3 linked regions of the Xenopus tropicalis genome follow. The protein of the gene in region 3 interacts with the protein of the main gene of each other region in a pairwise test. Links are inferred from orthologs where the notes say so. Each region holds a gene or a part of one and is shown on either strand. Other genes may lie near its edges.

The links. The genes of interacting proteins can lie anywhere in the genome.
Region 1: the proteins of smyd1 (region 3) and fam204a interact in binary tests that used the Homo sapiens proteins (3 or more experiments, as listed by UniProt). The link is inferred for Xenopus tropicalis from reciprocal best matches to the Homo sapiens genes SMYD1 and FAM204A.
Region 2: the proteins of smyd1 (region 3) and zbtb44 interact in binary tests that used the Homo sapiens proteins (3 or more experiments, as listed by UniProt). The link is inferred for Xenopus tropicalis from reciprocal best matches to the Homo sapiens genes SMYD1 and ZBTB44.

What each region holds. Positions count from the first base shown.
Region 1 is NC_030683.2:6,070,891-6,075,306, forward strand, and holds the start of fam204a (protein FAM204A), read right to left. Parts: upstream 2,884-4,416; coding exon 2,878-2,883; intron 1-2,877.
Region 2 is NC_030683.2:70,131,173-70,135,504, reverse strand, and holds the start of zbtb44 (zinc finger and BTB domain-containing protein 44), read right to left. Parts: upstream 2,884-4,332; 5' UTR 2,815-2,883; coding exon of another isoform or gene 2,778-2,814; intron 2,736-2,777; exon of another isoform or gene 2,623-2,735; intron 1-2,622. UniProt on the Homo sapiens protein: May be involved in transcriptional regulation.
Region 3 is NC_030677.2:18,437,345-18,440,995, forward strand, and holds part of smyd1 (histone-lysine N-methyltransferase SMYD1), read right to left. Parts: intron 1,595-3,651; coding exon 1,418-1,594; intron 824-1,417; coding exon 610-823; intron 1-609. UniProt on the Homo sapiens protein: Methylates histone H3 at 'Lys-4' (H3K4me), seems able to perform both mono-, di-, and trimethylation. Acts as a transcriptional repressor. Essential for cardiomyocyte differentiation and cardiac morphogenesis.

The DNA of each region.
Region 1 (4,416 bases), on a different chromosome or scaffold from region 3:
TGAGACAATTTGCAATTGGTCTTCATTTTTTATTATTTGTAGCTTTGTAGTTATTTCCTTTTCAGTTCAGCAGCTCTGCGGTTTGGAGATTTAGCAGCTATTTGGTTGCTAGGGTTCAACTTACCTTAGCAACCAGGGAGTGGTTTGGAAGAGAGGCTGATATATGAATAGGAGAGGGGCTGATTAGAAAAGAAAGTTACAAAAAGTAACAATAACAATAAAACTGGAGCCTCACAGAGCAATAGGTTTTTCGCTGCCGGGGTCAGTGACCCCTATATAAAAAGAGTTGGAAGAAGAAGGCAAATAATTAAAAAATTATAACACATAAATAATGAAGACCAATTGAAAAGTTGCTTAGAATTGGCCATTCTATAACATACTAAAAGTTAGGTGAACTGCCCCTTTAAGAGGTAGCCTTATGGTGGGTTGAGTTGGATATACATCTAGTTGCAGTAAGAGGGGGCCCCTGATATCTGGTGGGCCCCAGAGTCCCAGACCAACTGGGCAGCACTGGACATTACACGGTTATGATTTACATTTGTTTCTCAGTAACATCCATAGGCATCGGAACCCCCCCCCCCTGGATGGAGGCGGAGGGGCAGGTGGCGCAGGCAGAGGGGCAGGTAACTCGGGCGGGCTTCAGGGGGGCTCTCTTTGGCCACAAAAAGTGGGCATGGGCAAAAATGTCTACACTAGCCACGTCCCAGTTATGCCCCACCTGACCTATCACCTTACACAGCCCCTCCCATTCCTTTATAATTAAACATGTACCTGCCCTTTTATGAACAGTAGGTTTTGTCTGGGAGAAATGAACCAATGAAATGCAAGTGTTTGTCCCATATTGGCGATGAGGCAGAAATTGTACAACAGACTAAGCATTGGGCGCCCTCTAGTGGCCGGATTTGTCTATGGCGATGTTCAGCCAACAGGGTGCGCCAGAAGGTTCAGCCAATTTATATGAGGCCTTTGATGAAAACTTGGTCTCTCCCAGTACTTTCCTTACCAGGGGACAAGCCGGCCGCCAACCCTGCCACGGAATATTCCATTTCAAGTGAAAAAAACACAGAATGCTCCCTAAATATGACGGCTGTAATTTCCTTTAATAGCAGCATTATCCAGTTTAGCCCCCTCTGTGCTGTTTTCTGCTTGCGTTTCCCCTAAGGCAGAGGCGGTCAGACATTTCTGGAAGAACATTCATGGTTTGGGGCCCCCCTCCCCACCCAAGGCCTTGGTTCTAATCATGGAGGTGGGCAGTGACCAATTGCCACCCACCGGAGGACATTGTGTAGCCAATGGGGGCACCTTGGCATCCTTTATACTTGTTCTCCTTTGAGTTATTGCACAATGAAACAATTTGCAATTGGTCTTCATTTTTTATTATTTCACTACTTGTTCAGCAGCTCCGCAGTTTGGAGTTTCAGCAGTTCTCTGGTTGCTAGGGTCCAAATGACCTTAGCGACCAGGGGGGCAGTTTGAATGAGAAACTGGTATATGAATATATGAAGAAGTAACAATAACAATACAACTGGAGCCTCACACACTGGAGCAATAGTTTTTTGGTTGCCGGGGTCAGCGACCCCTATTAAAAACTGCAGATAGTTGGAAGAAAAAGGCTAATAATTCAAAAACTATAACAAATAATTAATGAAGACCAATTGAAAAGTTGCTTGAAATAGGCAGTTCTAAACAGTTACCTTAATGGGGACCCACCCCTTTAAGATTATGACCCTTTAGCCCACTCTCAGAGACGAGTTATACCCCCACGGTGTAACCGCGGGTAACATTATCATCCCGCCATATTTGCCCATCATCCCGCCACATAGGATACCAGCGGATTTGTCAGCTTTGAGAGGAGCTTTCCCTAAATATCATCATCAGCCGCCGCATTATGCGCCCCCATAAAGAGATTACATACAATAACAGCATTTACTAGCGCCGGGCCTGATTGCAAGCAGATGTCTCTGCCACCTCATTGTGCTCCGAGGCAGCCCCCCCAATTATGGTGAATGGGAAGGCCGCGCCGCTGTCCCTCTGCCAAGGAACACTAAACCCCAGCAATGTCTGCTCCTAATTTAAGGATCATTTTAAAGCAATTTTCTTTCAGCTGGAATGGAGCGGGGGGGGGGGGGGGGGGCAATGCAGGAGAGAAAATGAGATATGTGTCCTGGGGAGGAATGCGGGGATTCCGAGGGGCCGGTAGCACAGGATCAAGACACTTTATGACATTTATAAGTGTATAATCCCCAGGGGTGTCGGCCTAGGTGTGAGGTTCCGCGGTGGCTTCACTGACCTGGAACCTGAGCGGAGGGTGGGAGAACATCGCAGAACATTATAGTCTGAGATTAGCAAATAGTAAAAAAAAAGAATGACCCTACTTGATGGCTGTAATATTTGGCTAATGGCAGGTTTGAGAAGGTGGCTGGGATAAAGGCCTGGGGATGGGGGGAAGGGGATGTGGGAGGAGGTGTCTCCTGGAAGAAGGCTTGCCACCGGTCCGGTTTTGACCCAGACGGCCTGGTTTTTCATGGGACTGTCCAGGTCAAAACATTCTGCCTAGTTTTCAACTTTCTAAAAAGTGGGCAGAAATCCTCCCAATTGCACCTAGCAGACTCAATTACCCCACCCCCAACGTCATCACGCAGGCAGAAACGTCATCGTGTGATAACATTGTGTGATGATGTTAGCGGTTTGCGTGGTGACATTGGAGACATACAGCACCAAGGTCATCATGCACGCTCCTTTGTCTGCATTTATAACCTGGCAAAGGTGGCAACTCTACCGGGAAGTTCCTAGTTTGGTGGGTCAAAACCTTTCATGAAAGGCCCCTCCTGTAAGCCTCATGGTATAGGCCCTTTCCCGAAGGACCCCACCCGTTACCTTCATGGTATAGAAAATTTCCTAAAGGACCCCGCCTGTTAGCTTCATGGTATAGGCTCTTTCCCGAAGGACCCCACCTGTTAACCTCATGGTATAGGCTTTTTCCTGAAGGACCCCTCCTGTAAGCTTCATGGTATAGGCCCTTTCCCAAAGGACTCCACATGTTAACCTCATGGTATAGGCTTTTTCCTGAAGGACCCGTCCTGTTAGCTTCATGGTATAGGCCCTTTCCCAAAGGACCCCACCTGTTAACCTCATGGTATAGGCTCTTTCCCGAAGGACTCCACCCGTTACCTTCATGGTACAGGCCCTTTCCTAAAGGACCCCTCCTGTTAGCTTCATGGTATAGACCCTTTCCTGAAGGACCCACTTGTTAACATCATAGTATAGACCCTTTCCCGAAGGACCCTACCTGTTAACCTCATGGTATAGGCTTTTTCATGAAGGACCCCACCTGTTAGCTTCATGGTATAGGCTCTTTCCCAAAGGACCCCACCTGTTAACCTCATGGTATAGGCTTTTTCATGAAGGACCCCACCTGTTAGCTTCATGGTATAGGCTTTTTCCTGAAGGACCCCACCTGTTAGCTTCATGGTATAAGCCCTTTCCCAAAGGAACCCACCTGTTAACCTCATGGTATAGGCTCTTTCCCGAAGGACTCCACCCGTTACCTCCATTGTACAGGCCCTTTCCTAAAGGACCCCTCCTGTTAGCTTCATGGTATAGACCCTTTCCTGAAGGACCAACTTGTTAACATCATGGTATAGACCCTTTCCTGAAGGACCAACTTGTTAACATCATGCTATAGACCCTTTCCTGAAGGACCCACCTGTTAGCTTCATGTATGTATGTATGTATATCTTTATTTATAAAGCGCTGTGCAGTAGAATACATTAATACAAACAGGGGGTTAATAAGATAATAGATAAATACAAAGTATAACAATAAATACAGCAGCAATAAGTTAAGAGTCGAGGACACAAGAGGAAGGAGGTCCCTGCCCCGTAGAGCTTACAATCTATATGGGAGGGGTAACTAACAGACACAAATAGGCAAATATAAGTGCTGTAGGTCACAGTGGGTGACATTACAATATAAGTGCAATTACAATATAATGGTATAGACCCTTTCCTGAAGGACCCCATCTGTTAGCTTCATGGTAAAGGCCCTTTCCTGAAGGACCCCGCCTGTTAGCTTCATGGTATAGACCCTTTCCTGAAGGACCCACCTGTTAGCTTCATGGTATAGACCCTTTCCTGAAGGACCCACCTGTTAGCTTCATGGTATAGACCCTTTCCTGAAGGACCCCGCCTGTTAGCTTCATGGTATAGAGCCTTTCCTGAAGGACCCCGCCTGTTAGCTTCATGATATAGGCCCCTTCCCGAAGAACCCTGCCTGTTAGCTTCATGGTATAGGCCCCTTCCCGAAGAACCCCGCCTGTTGGCTTCATGGTATAGACCCTTTCCTGAAGGACCCCGCCTGTTAGGTATAGTTTCACTTACCCTTTAAACGAATGGAATCAAACACTAGATTCATCCA
Region 2 (4,332 bases), on a different chromosome or scaffold from region 3:
TGCCTCTCCCTAGCACATTGCTTAATTTTAAGCTGAAAAGGACACTTTCAGCTTTCCCCATGTCTTGCAAACGCAGGTGCCATCTTGGGAAGGTCAGCGTCACCACTTTCGCCTCATAATACACACTGTGCATGCGCACCTATCTGGGAGCTTACAAAATATTGCGAGAGTTGCACAAGCACAGGGGAATTTGTGACTGCGCAGCAGAAACACCAGTCCTTCATTAAAGGTACAATGTGCAGATTCTCTTGTACAGATTTTTGTTTTAGGAGTTATGGATGTAAATTTTTAAGTCAATGTTAACAGGTGTCTCTGTGTCAGTGTCATGGAGCAATGGGGTGTCAGTGCTGAATGCTCTTGGGGTGGAGGGGGGGGGGAAATAAAGTTCCTGTATTTATTTCCTTTAAACAGCTACATTTTAGGGCTGATTTACTAATCCACGAATCCGAATGGGAAAAATTCGGATTGGAAAACGAACATTTTGCGACTTTTTCGTAGCCGGTACGACTTGTGCGAATTGTCGCCACTTTTCCATAGCCATTACAAATTTCGTGAATTGTCGCGACTTTTTCATAGCCAGTACGACTTTCGCGAATTGTGCGACTTTCGTATTGAGCGCTCGAAAAAGTCGCAAAATACCGATCATTACAAAAAAAACGCATTCGGACGTTCGTGGATTAGTAAGTGTGCCCCTTTGTGTCTTTAACACATTACCCTGATTTTACATCTTTTTTCCATGGTCCCTTGAAAAATGTAAAATGGGGGTTCTACTGCATGTTTTATTTAATTTTAGTTTAACTCCAATTTTAGGTTTGTGAATGCCTCCTCTAAATATATAAATTCAGACTGTTTAACATGCCTCAGCTTAAGGTGGTCATACACAGGCCGATCGTAGCTGCCGATATCGGTCCCTTGGACCGATACGGCAGCTTATCGGCCCATGTAGGGGCAAAAACGACGGCCATATCTGAAATTGGCCAGATATCGATCAGGCAGGTTAAAAGATTCAGTCGGATCGGGGACCGCATCGGCTTGTTGAAGCGATCCCTGAACTGACTGTGCTATTGCCGCCGTTAGAATTCGATCGTTTGGCCCCAGGGCCACGCGATCGAATTAGCCTACATTTTCCCAGTATCGCCCACCCGTAGGTGGGGATATCGGGAGAAGAACCGCCAAGCCAAGACATCGCCAAGCAAGCGGATCATAACGTGGTCAGGCAGGCCCCTAGTTTCTGCCCCTACACGGGCCGATAATCGGCCTGTGTATGGGGACCTTTAGCTGCAGTGCAATAATGTTTATGTTTAGATAACAGGTAATCAGGTACTAATAAAACTTAACTGAAATCTTAAGTACCCTTATGTAAATTCCACCTTTATTGGGTATCAATGGCCCTTTTTCAGGTTCTACATTCCTTATTTCCCCTAACATTATTAAGCTGTATATTCCTAAAAACATTTCAATTTTAACAAAGTTTATACACATAATATATAGTGGCTTACATTTATTTTGTGCATAACAATTTGCACACACTTGTATGTGTCTTTCTCTGAATGAAAGAGCAGTGATCCCAAACCAGTGGCTCACGAGCAGCATGTTGCTCACCACCCCCTTTGATGTTGCTCTCAGTGGCCTCAAAGCAGGTCTTGTTGAATTTCTGACTTGGAGGCATAAAGACCATAGGTACTACCAAACAGAACATCCTTTAGTTTGCCAATCCACGTAGGTGCTACAAAATAACAGATTTTTTTGGTCACCCCCAAGAACTTTTTTCATGCTTGTGTTGCTCCCCAACTTTTTCTTATATTTAAATGTTGCTCACAGGTTAAAAAGGTAGGGGAACCCTGCTTTAAAGTCTTTAATAATGGAACTAAGGTGTAGTTCCATCCCTTGCAGGAATGCCAGCCACACTGGTTTTGAAGGTAGCCCAATCCTGTGACAGACTGAATACCAATGTAACTGGTATTTTGGCATATAATTGAATTGAAACCCCAATCCCAGCATAGTAAAGCTAACAGTCTATCCTGGTAAAATTCACTGGAGCTGGCAGGTGGGGGAGATCCAAGCAGTGTACTTTGTGTGTGATAATAAAGTTTGCATATGTTAAGTATAATGGATTAATAAAATAAAGAAATCATTGTGTGGCTAGGGCCCACAAAATATTGCCCTGCATAGAACAAAATTAATAAGATTTGCAAGTTTACTTTACTACTATCACATACAGTAAAACCAATATATGCCCCCCCCCCCCCCCAAAGAAACGTAATTACTTTTTGTCACAAAAATGTCACACCTACAATATTAATATTCCCATGCACAATTGGCATGATTGTTGCCCTGGTTGTAAAAGACCAAATATAACACAAGATTTAGAATTAGACACATATTAATACAAGCGGCCTTTAAAAAGTAGCAATGCCATATCCAACAGTAGCAATAATCACAATCACCCACGTCAACCTATCACTTCCCCCACCACGAAGATAATTCCTACCTAGACGGCGGGACACAAAGTGGGTGGGGGCAGACATTTCAACCCCTCCCACCTGTACAAAAAGGAACCTCAAGAGACCAGGCGGGAAAGCTGGCCCAGTTATTATTACCCAAAGGCTACTAGCATCTCACCTTACGTCTCGGACTTTTACGGCCTTCATAGGGTTCGCCGCTTTAGGTAAAGCGCGACTGACTGCGTCTCTCGCAGTCCGAGACACGGGAGCGGGAAATACAGTAGGCCTCTGAAAATAGCCACCAACAACCGCATCTAACACTACTTGTATTACCTTGCACCTCCTTGTTGCGACCTCCTTTCTTGCTCATCGATTTCCTTCCCCCTGTTGTTTGGGCATTTGGTGCACGCCGTCCCCAGCGTTTTCGACTGCGTGTGCCCACGAAACCTAGCGCACAGGCCCAAGCGCTTGGAATATTCCACTTCTCAATGGTGGGGGACGAGGGGAGTAGAGCTCATCAGTTTGTTTGTGTCCCACAATGCAACGCGCTCAGAGGGGGGTGGCGTTGTGTGACGTGAAGAAGGGCGGTGACTGTCTGGCGACTAGTTGCTTGGATACAGTTTGGAGGCTGCGCTGTGTTGTAGAAAAAGTAGGTTGGAAGAACGAATCGTGATTTCTAATATAGTTGGTGATTATTACGAGCAGGAAGTTAATTTTGCTTTGCAAAATCATGTTAGCATCAATAGAGCACGGTAAAAGGGACTAATTGATGTTAGAGTGTTTAACTATCTGGCATTTATTGTATTTTGTATTTTTCTACTAGTTATTAGCATGCTGTGTTTTCTAAAACGTTGACAATCCGTAGGAAGCTGCAGGAAATTTTTCAGGTGGGGCAAAGTCATCGAGCAAAAACAACCTGTGGCAAGTTTGCAGGAAATCAATTTATATATGTAGCCCATAAAATCACTCACAACTTACAGGATTGTATAACTAGAGGGACAGCTTAAGAAGAGAGTAAAAATTATGAGCAACCCTGATTTTGGCTACCTGCACTTTGTGAACACACCCTAAATACCACTTTACCAAAACATACTTCAGACATGCTAGTATACTTACTAAAACAAATTGATAACAAGCATATTTACCCCAGATGAACCAGTATAGTCACTAATTAAAATAGATAAGCATATTAACCCAATATGTGCCAGTATAATTACCGTGGGAAAGGAACTGACAATCTGCTCAAGACGAGCAAGTATAATCCCTCAATAAAATCGATAATGGGCATAACTACAGATGTGTAAGTATAGATACTACAGAAATTGGACAATCTGCCTATTAACCGATAAGTGGAAATATAATTGCAACAGATAATGCACTATCCTCTATCAAAAGAAACACAGGATTTCTTGTCTCCTTTTTTGTAAACATGTTCTTTGGGTATCTGACTTCCTCTCTCAGAAAAATCCTTCATTCCCCGGCCCAAAGTCTTAAGCTTCCCATACACGAGGCGATTTCACTCATTGTGCGACGAACGATTATATCGACAAACGATTGTATGGCGATCGGGTTTCCATACGATATGCCATCCACGGGCAATGATAATTTGCAAAAGATTTAATCGTATCATTATCGTAAAATACGTACGATCGTACATCTACGTACGATCCAATGTCGTGGCGGAAGCGGTATTTATTTATTTATGTTTGTTGACTTCCGCTGCTGACAATCTTGACATGCGCAGAGAACAATCGTTCGAAGACAAATGTCTGACACTCACACCAACTGGCAGATTTTATCGTTAAACTACTAAAATTTTTAAACCTGGCCGATCGATTTTGGGGGCGATAATGTCGTGTCGATTAGTGGGCCGACGATCGTTCGCACA
Region 3 (3,651 bases):
GATGTAAAATGGGAGAGCATTTGGGAAGAAATAAGGTAAAATCTAGGCAGATTGGGGTGGTTTGGGGGAGGACTGGGGGTGTTGCAAGTTAACAGCAACTACATTGCCTTTGCTTTGGCAGGTGTTTTACCACCTATAGCAACCAATCTGCAGGTAGAATTTACTTGTCTCCTGTATAAAAGCCAACATGTTTTTGGTTGTTATGGATTACTGGTACAGGTATGGGACCCCTTATCCGGAAACCCGTTATCCAGAAAGCTCCGAATTACGGAATGCCCGTCTCCCATAGACTCCATTTTAATCAAATAATTCAGAATTTTAAAACTGATTTCCTTTTTCTATGTAGAAATAAAACAGTACCTTGTATTTGATTCCAACTAAGATATCATTAATCCTTATTGGATGCAAAACAATCCTATTGGGTTTAATGTTTTATTGATTTTTTAGTAGACTTAAGGTATGGAGATCCAAATTACGGAAAGACCCCTTATCCGGAATACCCTTGGACCCGAGCATTCTGGATAATGGGTCCTATACTTGTACTGGGAAAACCTAGTGCCTTTTATTACATATGGGGGTTAAAGTTTCAAAGTGCTTGCTGTGACCTACCACACTAAATATATGAGAGATGTACTGCATGCCAAACTGTTGGCTCTGACTTGGCCAATATTCCAAAAATTTCTGAACATCTTCCATGAGTAAGCCCTTCTCTGCTTCATCAAATTTGTCTATATGGTTCTGTAGATCATCAATGGAGACCAAGCATCCCTCAGTGAGGCCACTTCCTTCTCTCTCTATCCTCCAGAGAATTCTTGCAGCCAGTCTGTTGTTATACAGAGAAACAAGAGAATAAACACACAAAGACAAAACACAAATGCTGCGCTAAATATTTTAGGTGCAGTTTTGCCTACATGTATTCAATGTCTTAAATGTAGCTATTGTTTACTTAATATAATGAGAATTTAATTTTAATTAAATAGGACAGTAAAATTGATTTATCTTTTATTTTGCAACTTCCTGGTGTAGAATAAGGGGAAAGCAGTTTATAGATTTGCAGAATGCCCGGTATGATGAACTTATCTGTAAAGCTGAGACTTAGCCTGCAGCTCTTGGAATGGAGGACATTGTTTATACTGAGCTCATTATCTCTGTGATGGCAGCGGGAGGGTGGGTAGACAGAATACATTTGAACTGAACTTGTTGTACTTATGATTTTCATGCTGAACATATAATATAATGTCATTTTATATAAGTGTTGGATTGTGTTTACTTAGTTGCCCAGGGCTGGAGAGAAGCCTTTCATTATTTTAGCAGCCAGCAAAAGTCCATGTTAAGCATATATATTATAAAAGTGCTTAGGGGAGAGCATTGTGATCAAATAATTCATGGGTTTATGGGTAATTCAGGGTTTATATACCTGATATTTTCATTCGGTGCTTTACCGGCTTTCTTAATGGCCACACACTCGTTTTTGTGGTTGGCCCAGGATTCCTTTTGACATGTCCGGTCACAATAGTGAGCAAATTTACACTGTCCGCAGCGCAGTAGTTTCTCCTGCCTCTTGAAGCATGAATGGCACACTGAATGGGAGAGACTGAAGAGAGAACATAAATTATAAATTATACAATTTTTTTTTCATTTAGACCCTGTGGATAAAATAATTAAACTGGAATATCGAGCACAGTGCTTGCGGTTTTCCATATGTAGCCAATAAAAGGAATTCTGGGAATGAATTCCAAACTCCCTATGTAGCCAGAAACTTTTAAGAGGAAAAAGCAGGCTTCAAAGTGCAAAAAAATTAGCAATCTGCCTTTTTCTTTGGACTTTGCACTCTGCCTTTCCCCTTATCAAATTGCCACAAATCTCTGTCCAAGGACACAGAGAATTTTGGGTTCCATTCAGACATGCAAATTTATAAATGGCAGGGGACGTAGGATGCAAAAGAACTCTATACTTACTGCCTGCCCCATGCTGGACTGTGCCCACCAAGGCTAGGCTTTACACCCCATGACTGACTTTTGATATGGAGCAAGTTGCAGTCATAAATGAACTCAACTTTCTTTCCAGAGCAGAATATCGTAGAATCAAAGGGATACTTTTTTTCATAGGCCATGATTAGAGAGTTCATCACATGTAAACAGTTATACCAGACATCTCAGTAATGGCCACCTCACAATATTGGTGTGCCATCTAGAAGTATCCCAGGAGAATCTATAGCTAAGCAGCAGCAGTTATAACTGCCCATCTGTTATATCTCAGTATATGTGACAATGAAGAGTAGTTCAGCTGGTTTGCTGGCTGCCATATCTGGCTGTGGCACCTGGTGCACAGGCTTCTGTCGCTGATTGGCTACCATGACCAATGACACTGGAAGCAAGAACCATATCAGCTTCCGATGTGTCTGCTCCATCGTAGAAGTTACTGGGTACACTGTTTTCTCAGCCCAGGCACAGGGCAAGAGATATTGGTGACACTACAATATGTTATACATTACATTACCTCTAGCCTAAAGCTGGCCATATACGCACCGATAATATCGTACAAAACCTTTGGTGCGTGTATGGCAAGTCGGCGAGGCGACCGATATCGCAGGAGGCTGCTGATATTGGTTGACTCAACGATCGGACGGGTTAAAAGATTTTGTCGGGTGCCATAGAAGGCACCTGAGCAAAATCTGCCTTCAGAGCTGAATCGGCAGAAGGAGTTAGAAATCCTATTGTTTCTACCTCCATATCTGCCGTTTCAGCCCTGAACGTTAGTGGCCGATTGGAACGTGTGTGGCCACCTTTAGGCTAATGCCCCATGGAGAGATGCGCAGGCCTTTCCACCGACTGCAATTCCCTGTGTTCCAGATGGAAAGGCATGTCCGGAGAGGTTAGTCCCCTTTAGTAGCAGAGATTTATCATGGGGACTAATCTCTCCAAAAGGCATTAGCTTTAAGATGACACTTTTTTTACTCTCTCTCTCTATCTGGGAAAAGAATGGAGGTTTTTTTATTTATTATAATACACAAGTGTCCATGAGGTGTGTGACAAGCACTGATTATAACTGATGGCGTCACTATATCTGCATTATATCATTATAATACACAAAAGTTTTGAAGAACTTTTAATATATATCCTTTTAAATAGTGCTTATTAATGTCATCATTTCTGAGTGCTTACTGATGTCAGTTGTGGAATAAAACCTGTGAAATATAATAAATAACACACCCCCTGCTGTAACATATAAAGTATTAGAAATCATTTCAAGATTTCATAACCTGTATAAAAAGTACTTGGCTTTCCGGCTTACACCATTATGTGTCATGTAACTATAAGGTGACGTCTAACACCCTAACATTTATGGATACGTATTTCTCTACATATAATATGCCATTTGTGTTTGTGGTGTTACAGGATAATATAATGCTCATTTTGTAGTAGTTCTGTTCTAGCTATGAGGCAAGATGAACCCAGTACTTCTGTGCAGGGTAGAAAGTTATGTGCTCTCCCATGGGGCACCATGGGGTAATAGGCAATGCAGCCTATCAGAATAGAGGCTATGTTTGTGGTGTTGAAGTTAATTGGACAGAATTGCACAGGTTATACTGTATTTGCCACCCTCTGACCTGGGATCTGTTTCATTAGCCACTTCATTGCCTTCTGCTTT